Linked DNA regions of Macaca fascicularis. Each later gene encodes a partner of the first gene's protein in a complex. Links are inferred from orthologs where the notes say so. Each region holds a gene or a part of one and is shown on either strand. Other genes may lie near its edges.

What was found. The genes of interacting proteins can lie anywhere in the genome.
Region 2: the proteins of NUP107 (region 1) and NUP133 are in contact, whole or in part, in a crystal structure (PDB 3CQG), measured with the Homo sapiens proteins. The link is inferred for Macaca fascicularis from reciprocal best matches to the Homo sapiens genes NUP107 and NUP133. Residues at the interface, in NP_065134.1 of Homo sapiens: Leu875, Gln876, Ala878, Asp879, Val881, Ser882, Ser883, Glu884, Tyr889, Lys894, Leu897, Arg898, Leu900, Leu901, Gln902, Arg905, Ser908, Leu909, Leu912, Asp917, Pro918, Leu919, Tyr921; in NP_060700.2 of Homo sapiens: Trp937, Leu938, Ile941, Asn942, Gln944, Leu946, Tyr963, Ala965, Lys966, Lys968, Thr969, Leu970, Gly972, Leu973, Lys975, Leu976, Ala977, Leu979, Ala980, Ser981, Asp982, Ile992, Glu999.

What each region holds. Positions count from the first base shown.
Region 1 is NC_088385.1:75,447,834-75,452,173, forward strand, and holds the start of NUP107 (nuclear pore complex protein Nup107), read left to right. Parts: upstream 1-1,459; 5' UTR 1,460-1,547; coding exon 1,548-1,555; intron 1,556-3,470; coding exon 3,471-3,562; intron 3,563-4,042; coding exon 4,043-4,129; intron 4,130-4,340. UniProt on the Homo sapiens protein: Plays a role in the nuclear pore complex (NPC) assembly and/or maintenance. Required for the assembly of peripheral proteins into the NPC. May anchor NUP62 to the NPC. Involved in nephrogenesis.
Region 2 is NC_088375.1:19,636,322-19,639,968, forward strand, and holds part of NUP133 (nuclear pore complex protein Nup133), read left to right. Parts: intron 1-275; coding exon 276-500; intron 501-3,647. UniProt on the Homo sapiens protein: Involved in poly(A)+ RNA transport. Involved in nephrogenesis.

The sequences.
Region 1 (4,340 bases):
GCATGGTGGTGCGTGCCTGTGGTCCCAGCAACCTCAGGTACTAGGGAGGCTGAGGTAGAAGGATTGCTAGAGCCCAGGAGGTCAAGGCTGCAGTGAGCCATGACTGTGCCACTGCACTTGAGCTGGGACAAAAGAGCAAGACCCTGTCTCAAAAAAAAAAAAAAAAAAAAAAAGAAGGAAGGAAACATAATTTAAAAAATCAAGTCCAAAAAAAAGCAAGCAAGAAGAAGAAGAAGAAGAAAAGCTCAGCACTGTCACAAGGAATATATGACAAGAAAAGCTGGCAATTTCTATATACCTGTGAAATCCAAATTGTCACTTGCCTTAAGGTATCAATGGTGTGAGCCCAAAAGTCTGTCAAAACCTCTTCACTTTCCCCAGATCTTCCATGGCACCTCTGCTAAACTCAAGGCTTCAGTTAACATGCTGACTATTGTGGAACCATACATCGCATAGAGTACCTGAACCTGAAATCAATAAATGAACTGATCTACAAATTGGTTATGGCAAAACCAATAAACAAATTACCTTAACAGATAACTCTTTGATTGATAGATTTCTTGATAAATATGGCATCATCTGACTGGAGAATCTGATTCATGAGATCTATGCTGTTGAAAAACTCTTCAAGTTCCTGTGATCCTTCAAATTATCTTCTCCACGAGGGAGAATGACTACCTATTCTGTATTACTAAAAAGTACAAATGCCAGCAACAGAAAAGACCATATCAACAGGCTTATTAAACGGATAAACTGAAGCATCTAACGTTATTTTTGTAATCTGGTCAGTTAATAGCCAGTCGCTACTTTCAAACTGGAAAAAACAAAAACAGAAACAAAAATGTGACTGACTCCTTCAAGACCAAAATATACCACTTTTTGCCTAGACGGCACTTTGAAATAGAGGGCAATACCATCATGTTTTACGCTTGCCTTTCTACTTTTTAATACAGGTGAACTGTTTCTCCTTAATAGAAAAGAATACCAAGTAAAGAACAAATAGCAGTTATGGAAAACAGTTTCAAAAACTGCAGGGGGCTAGAGAACAAAGGACTGAGTGTAGGGAGAGAGATAAGAGATTCCCGAGGTGTGGGGCAGAGCCCACGCATCTGAATTCCAAGAACAGGCGCTTTCTGACAGAGAATACCAGGAAATGACTTCACGTTTTTCCAGACTATCAACATGCTTCATTTTTCCCAGTAGGAGAACCCAGGGCCTGTTCCACGCCCACAGACGTTGGTCAGGCAAAGCGGCCGCAAGGCGTCTGGGCTAAACGCAACCAGGTCCCGCCCCCGGCCCTGTCTGGTCCAGCCAGGCACACATTGGCAAGCTTTTGCGCCTGCGCCCACCGGGCCGGCACCTGTAGGCTGAAGTCGCCCATGCGCTAGATGGGAACGTCGTTTCTTCTCCCCTACCCCTTTTCTGTGGGGCTATTTTAGGGAGAGACTGCTTCCGGGTCGAAGGGCTTGCTTCCGGAGAGCGGGAAGGCTAAAACGCGGTAGCTAAACTGGAGCCGACATTTATTCTGTGTGGAAAAGGCTTTAGCCATGGACAGGTCAGTTCTGAGGATGGCAGCTGAACCCAAAGCCTTGCCCCTCTCGCCTGTTGGCGAAACGAAATAGGTGAAACTAGACTCCCAGAAGAAGCCAAGGAGGTCCCGGGTGCTTCCCCTAAGACTCCTTCCCCATGCCGGGAAATTTGGCTACAAATGGGGAAAGGCCGCTTGGCCTGCGTCGGGTGGGGTACGGATCATAATGGTCCCCTACATTCCCACTACGTTCTGCGATCTATTCGGCGCTTTGGGGCAGCAACACTGATCGCTCCTGGGGTGGGCGGGGTAGGTAGCCCGGCGTTCGAAATGCTAAGTGACCAGCCTGTGATCACAAAGCCAGTCAGTGAAGATACTGGGATCTCAGCTCAGACTTTCTGATTACGTGCTAGCATCAGATACTGAGTTCCCTCTGTGATCTGGGTACTGTGCTAGCCGCCTGCAACAAAGATCAGTTATTCAAGATCCTTCACCTCGGGGAATTAGTTGTGTAGTGGAGACAACCAAGCGGTATAAAGTGATAAGTGTTTGGGGGCGATTAAGTCTCCCTGTCACTCTATCAGAAAGACCTCTCAAAGAAGGTAACTTTCTAGCTGGTCTTTGCATAATAATAGTACATTATTCGTACTCCAAACATTGAGTACCTACTATATGACTGCCATTGTTGGCTTTGAATATATATTATCAGTTTATTTAATCTTCAGAACAAGAGCAATCCTATGAGGATAGGTACTGTTATCCCTTTTTCATATATAATACTGAGACTAAAAGAGGTTAAGGAATTTGCTGAAAGTTAGGAAGCTAATAAATACAAGAACCAAATTGCCAACCTGCCTCTGTGTGTCTCCAGCCTACCTGAGGCTCTTTGAGGAGTAATTAGTTGTTGACCAGGTGCCCAAGGGGGCAAATGTAGGTCTTTGTAAAAGAAACATATTCAAAGGTGCTAGTATATGAAAAACAAAAGTACATGTAGCTCAGTGGTCACATGCAGTATATGTTTAGAGTGATGTTTGTGGCTGAATAGAAGACTGAACGCCTAAACTGGGGTCACATTGTAAATATCATTTTAGGAAATTTGCACTTCTATAAACCAGAGAGAGCTATCTGTAGGTTTTTTGTTTGTTTTGTTTTTTAATTTTAATTATTAAACATTTAAAATTTTTTCTATGGGGTTGTTTCCCATACTTTCCTGCTGAAGGAATATCTGAAGGTTTTAAGTGGAGGAAAAGCATATTAGATTCTTGTCTTAAACACAGGCCTTTTAGTCCACACAATTTAGTTTCTAGACCTTTGAGTGAAACTGACAGAGTGTTGTGATGGGACAGGAGACCTCTTTGGTTGAAATAACTTGAAGGGTCATTTTGCTACAATTTACCAGAATTTTTTTACTTACTCTTCTATCTCACAAGCTCTGTTTGTTGTTGTGGTTGTATCTCACAAGCTCTGGTTGTTGTTGTTGTCTGGTGGTGGTTGTTGTCTGGTTGTTGTTGTTTGTTTTTTAATAGTACCCATGGTTTAAAGCATTTTGGATTCTGCAGAAAATCTTTGAAGAGAGAATTCCTGCAATTAGGTAACTTCTCAATCCAACCAGGGAAATAAGATTCACTTTTATGAAGCAATTACCTAAAACAGTGTTATAATATAGATTCCAAGTGTTGAAATAATTCTTTAGGAGAAAATAACATAGTGAGTACTAGAAAGTCAGAGAAATCTTTGTGCAGGTAACATTTGAGTAAGACTTTGAAGAATAAGCAGGATTTGGAGCCACGAGTGCATTCTCAGCAAAAGATCCAAGACTTGGCTACTGGAATGACCTATATCTTAACTTACTCAGGGTCCTTTACTCCAGCTGTGATGATAAAATTCTTTACAAATGCTATATTCTTGTTTCACTTATATAAGCTTGATTATACTACTTTAGGAGTGGCTTTGGAGATATATCATCCCCTGTAATCCGGGAGGCAGAGGTGACACGGACTGCACGGAAACAGAGTGCTCAAAAAAGAGTTTTAAGTATCCTTTGCGATTTAAGCATCATTATAAAAATTGTAACATGTTTGGAATCAGTGTTATAGAATTTTCTTTTTATAAGAGTATTAAATGTTAGCTATAATAAAATCCTGTAGAAATTTTTTTCACTCCACAGAGCTGTCATTAGGTAAATATAATGCAAAAATTTAATAAGATTATATTTCCTTAAAAATAAAGATATTTCTTACTGCTGACTATCATATTGTGGTTAGCTTCTGCTGAGATTTTTATTATTTGAAAACTGACTAAAAACATTTAGTTCAGTGTGTAGCTATCTAAGACTGACGTCTGAGAATTTAAATGGCAGAAGGAATGGGTTATTTACCCTTTGCATTGAAAAATGGTAGCCGTAAAATACCTTGTTCTTGAAAAATGTATTCACATAATTTGTATAGTAAAAAGATGGTTAATTCTCATTTTAATCTTTTCTACATGGAAAACTTTTCTTAACTCATTGTACAGTTCAGGCATCTCAAGATGAAAGTTTCGGTAATACTACACCAAGAAACCAGGTTATCCCTCGAACTCCTAGCTCATTTCGACAGCCTTGTAAGACTTTTTTGCTTTTAAAGCATTTAATAATAATGATAATTATAATAGCAACTAACATTTATTGTAACATGATAAGTATAGTATTTGGTTACAATATCAATAAACACTAATAATAATGATTGCAGTTATTATTTGTTTGAACTCTTGCCATGTACAAGGTACTGTACTTTCCATAAACACACAGTAACTATGACATAGGTATCGTTAG
Region 2 (3,647 bases), on another chromosome or scaffold:
GAAACATGATATGTAGAGACAATAGTAGTGGACAGAAGCCCTGGAGTGACCCTGCTCTTAGAACAGGAATGTCTGCACTTCCTTGTGGGTGTTACTGGCCTGGCTGAAGTGTGTCTGTGTGTTAGAAACAGCTAAAACAAGAGACAGCTGGAGGGACTTGCTGGGGGAGAGCTGGGGCCAGTGACTGCCCAGGGTGCTTCTGGGGAAAATACAGCTATGGTATTTTGCATGTTACCATATTGCTTTCTAAGAATATATGTTTGCCTTTTTGCAAGGTTGGCTTATTTGGACGTCTAGGCAGTTTTCCAGTTAGAGGGACACCGATGGCCACTCGATTGTTGCTCTGTGAGCATGCCGAAAAGCTGTCAGCCACCATTGTTCTCAAGAACCACCACTCCCGGCTTTCTGATCTCGTCAACACGGCCATATTGATTGCTTTGAACAAGAGGGAGTATGAAATCCCATCCAACCTGACTCCTGCAGATGTCTTTTTCAGGGAGGTATGATGAGTCCTCTTTCATGTGGCTTTGTAGAACTGTGCCATTTAGTGATCATGCCCTAGGCAGGAAAGAGGGTGAGGACAAGTTAAATCACAAAAGATCTCACTGAAATGTTAAATTGGACCCCAGATTTTCTGGCTAAAGTATCACTCAGAAGTATCATTTACCAGTTACCTATAAAGAAGAGCTTGCAAAGTTGACTGAGAAGTGCTCCCTGTTGACTTTTTTTCCCGTTAGTAACTATCTCCAAGTACCTATTTGCTTTGGGTGCTGATCTTCCCTTTTTTTTTTTTTTTTTTTTTTTTTGAGATAGAGTCTCACTCGGTTGCCCAGGTACCTCCACCTCCCGGGTTCCAGCGATTCTCCTACCTCAGCCTCCTGAGTAGCTGGGATTACAGGTGCCAGCCACCACGCCTGGCTAATTTTCATATTTTTAGTAGAGGTGGGGTTTCGCCATGTTAGTCAGGCTGATATTGAACTCTGACCTCAGGTGATCCACCCCTTCAGCCTCCCAAAGTAATGGGATTACAGGCGTGAGCCACTGCGTCCATCCTGATCTCCTTACTTTGTCTCTCGATCTACTGTTTTTTTTTTTTTTGAGACTGAGTCTCGCTCTGTTGCCAGGCTGGAGTGCAATGGTGCAATGTCGGCTCACTGCAACCTGTGCCTCCAGGCTTCAAGCAATTCTCCTGCCTCAGCCTCTCAAGTAGCTGGGACTACAGGCCTGTGCCACCACACCCAGCTAATTTTTGTATTTTTAGTAGAGACCCTGTTTCACCCTGTTGACCAGGCAGATCTGCCCTTGACTGTGCCACAGCCAAGTAGCCTTCCTGAGTGGGCTCCCTTGCCCTCCCACTTCTACCAGGTCAGATGAATGGGAGGCCCTGCCAGAAGGCCGGAAGTTGTAGTAGTTATTCCCCCAGCTTTCTTCCTTGCCTGTGCCCACTTTACATTGGCTGTGCCCCTCTGTCAGGGACCATGCCTCCTGTCCAACTGCTTTCTCTTGTTTCCAGTAGCTGCCCCTCCTCTTGCCTCTTCAGGCTGGAGGTTGATAATGCCTCATCCTAGGGTGCTGCCCCATCCCCTTTTGGACCCCTTAATCTTGTCCACACCTTTGCAAACAGTCCCTTCACTGAACTCCTCAGCTACCTCCTAGGATCCTGTTGCTACACCTTACTTGTAAAATCAGATTTATTTTCAGAGAAAAAGTAAAGTCTGCTACAAACTTCAAAGACAGAAATGGTTAAGATGCTGGTCAGCCAGTGACAGCTGGACATTGTGGAAATAGTGGCACAGTCCTCACGGTTTTGTGAAGCTTCACAGCCTATTGAGGCAGCAGGGTAGACTTCGCTGTCTCCCTTTAAAGGTGTGACATTAGGACTTAGACCTATTGTCTTAACGGAGACTGCAGAATGATCTAGTTTTAGAAACAGTGCCAACTCTTCCCTCAGCTCAGTGAAATTTGGAATTCCTTATGCATTTGAGGAGCTTCAAACTCTATTTGGTGTCTCAGATTTTGCTTCCTTCCTCCTATAGCCTAACTGTATTCTAGCATGTAACACATTATGCCAACAGGTCTCTTTTTCTTAATGTTTGATGTACTGTAACCTAAGTTCAGTCTTCTGTTGATTCCATAAATGCGTTTAGTGTGAATTCTTTGTTTTTATACGTTTGTGTTAGTTCCTAGGGAATGGAAGGAAAAGTGCTTTGTTATGTTTTGTTTTTAATCTAGACAGTATGCCAGAAATCTGAAAGAAAAACAAATCACCTCAAGTTTCATGATCTAACAAATCAAATTGTTGTCTTTTTTGTGTCCTTTTTGGTGTTTATTCATACATAGTTTTATATGATAAGGCAATGAATTTTTAAAAATTAATGACAGACTGCTTGTAAGAACTGAGCAAGAGCCTGGTTTATTATTCTGCATTTGTATCAAAGGGCAAAGTGTAATTGTCAATGCAGTGTATGTACATGTTTCAGTTAGCTGAATTATTAGAGAAGGGTCTGGAAATTATCAGTTGGATACATAATATAGAATAGTATTTTAGGACTATGATACAGCAAAACTAAAAGTGTGATTGGCTCCTCAAAAGAATGTTCCATATGAAAAATGGTAATGTTTAGGACTGTTCACGTCACTATTTATCTTCATTTCTCATGATGTTCATTGGTCTTCAGCTTCTCTGGGGTGTAGTTCTAAAGGTTTTCTCCCCTGTCATAATCATCATGAAAAGAGAATATAATAGCTATGTACATATAGTAGTTTTTCTTTTTACCTGTCCTTTCCCTTGGGGGTGACAAAGTACCTTTCTAAGGAGTATTTGTGTTTTGGGATGAGCTGGTTAACCAAAATCAATCTCTGATTGGTGGGCCATATAGAAAAATATTTTGACTTGGCAGCCCTGATAGAAAGTAAAACAATACAGAGCCTGCCTGAGGGTGCACTCTCCACTTTGCCTCTGTCTCCAGTTTGGGAAGGCCTTGTACCTCCCAGAGCTCTGGAAAAGCAGAGCTTACTGCTTAAGAAACAGACTATGTTGACACGGCATATGAGCAATATTTGAAATCACTGAATATATACATGATAAGATAATTTAACAAGTGTTTTGGCATTTTATGCACTTTTATTTTCTTTTATGCTTTCCTTTTTTTTTTTTTTTTTTTTTTTTGGAGACAGAGTCTTGTTCTGTCACCAGGCTGGAGTGCAGCGGCACAATCTCTGCTCACTGCAACCTCCGCCTTGGTTCAAGCAATTCTCCTGCCTCAGCCTCTCAAGTAGCTGGGACTCCAGGTGTGTGCCACCACGCCCAGCTAATTTTTGCATTTTTAGTGGAGACAGGGTTTCACCGTGTTTGCCAGGATGGTCTTGATCTCTTGACCTCGTTATCTGCCCACCTCCAAAGTGCTGGGATTGCGGGCGTGAGCCACCGCGCCTGTCCATTATATAGGCTTTCATTGTGTTTTTCATGTTAACAATGTAAAATATTCTTATGCTTAATCTTACAAATTAAATATGCTGAAGATTTCTTGCCTGGGCTGTTAGAATGCCTTTGGCTAACATCAGAAATGCAAAAGGAAGAACAAGGTTTGCAAAAGGGAGGGATTTTGTTTGGGTCATGTTTTATCTGTGACTGTGTGTCTTGTTCC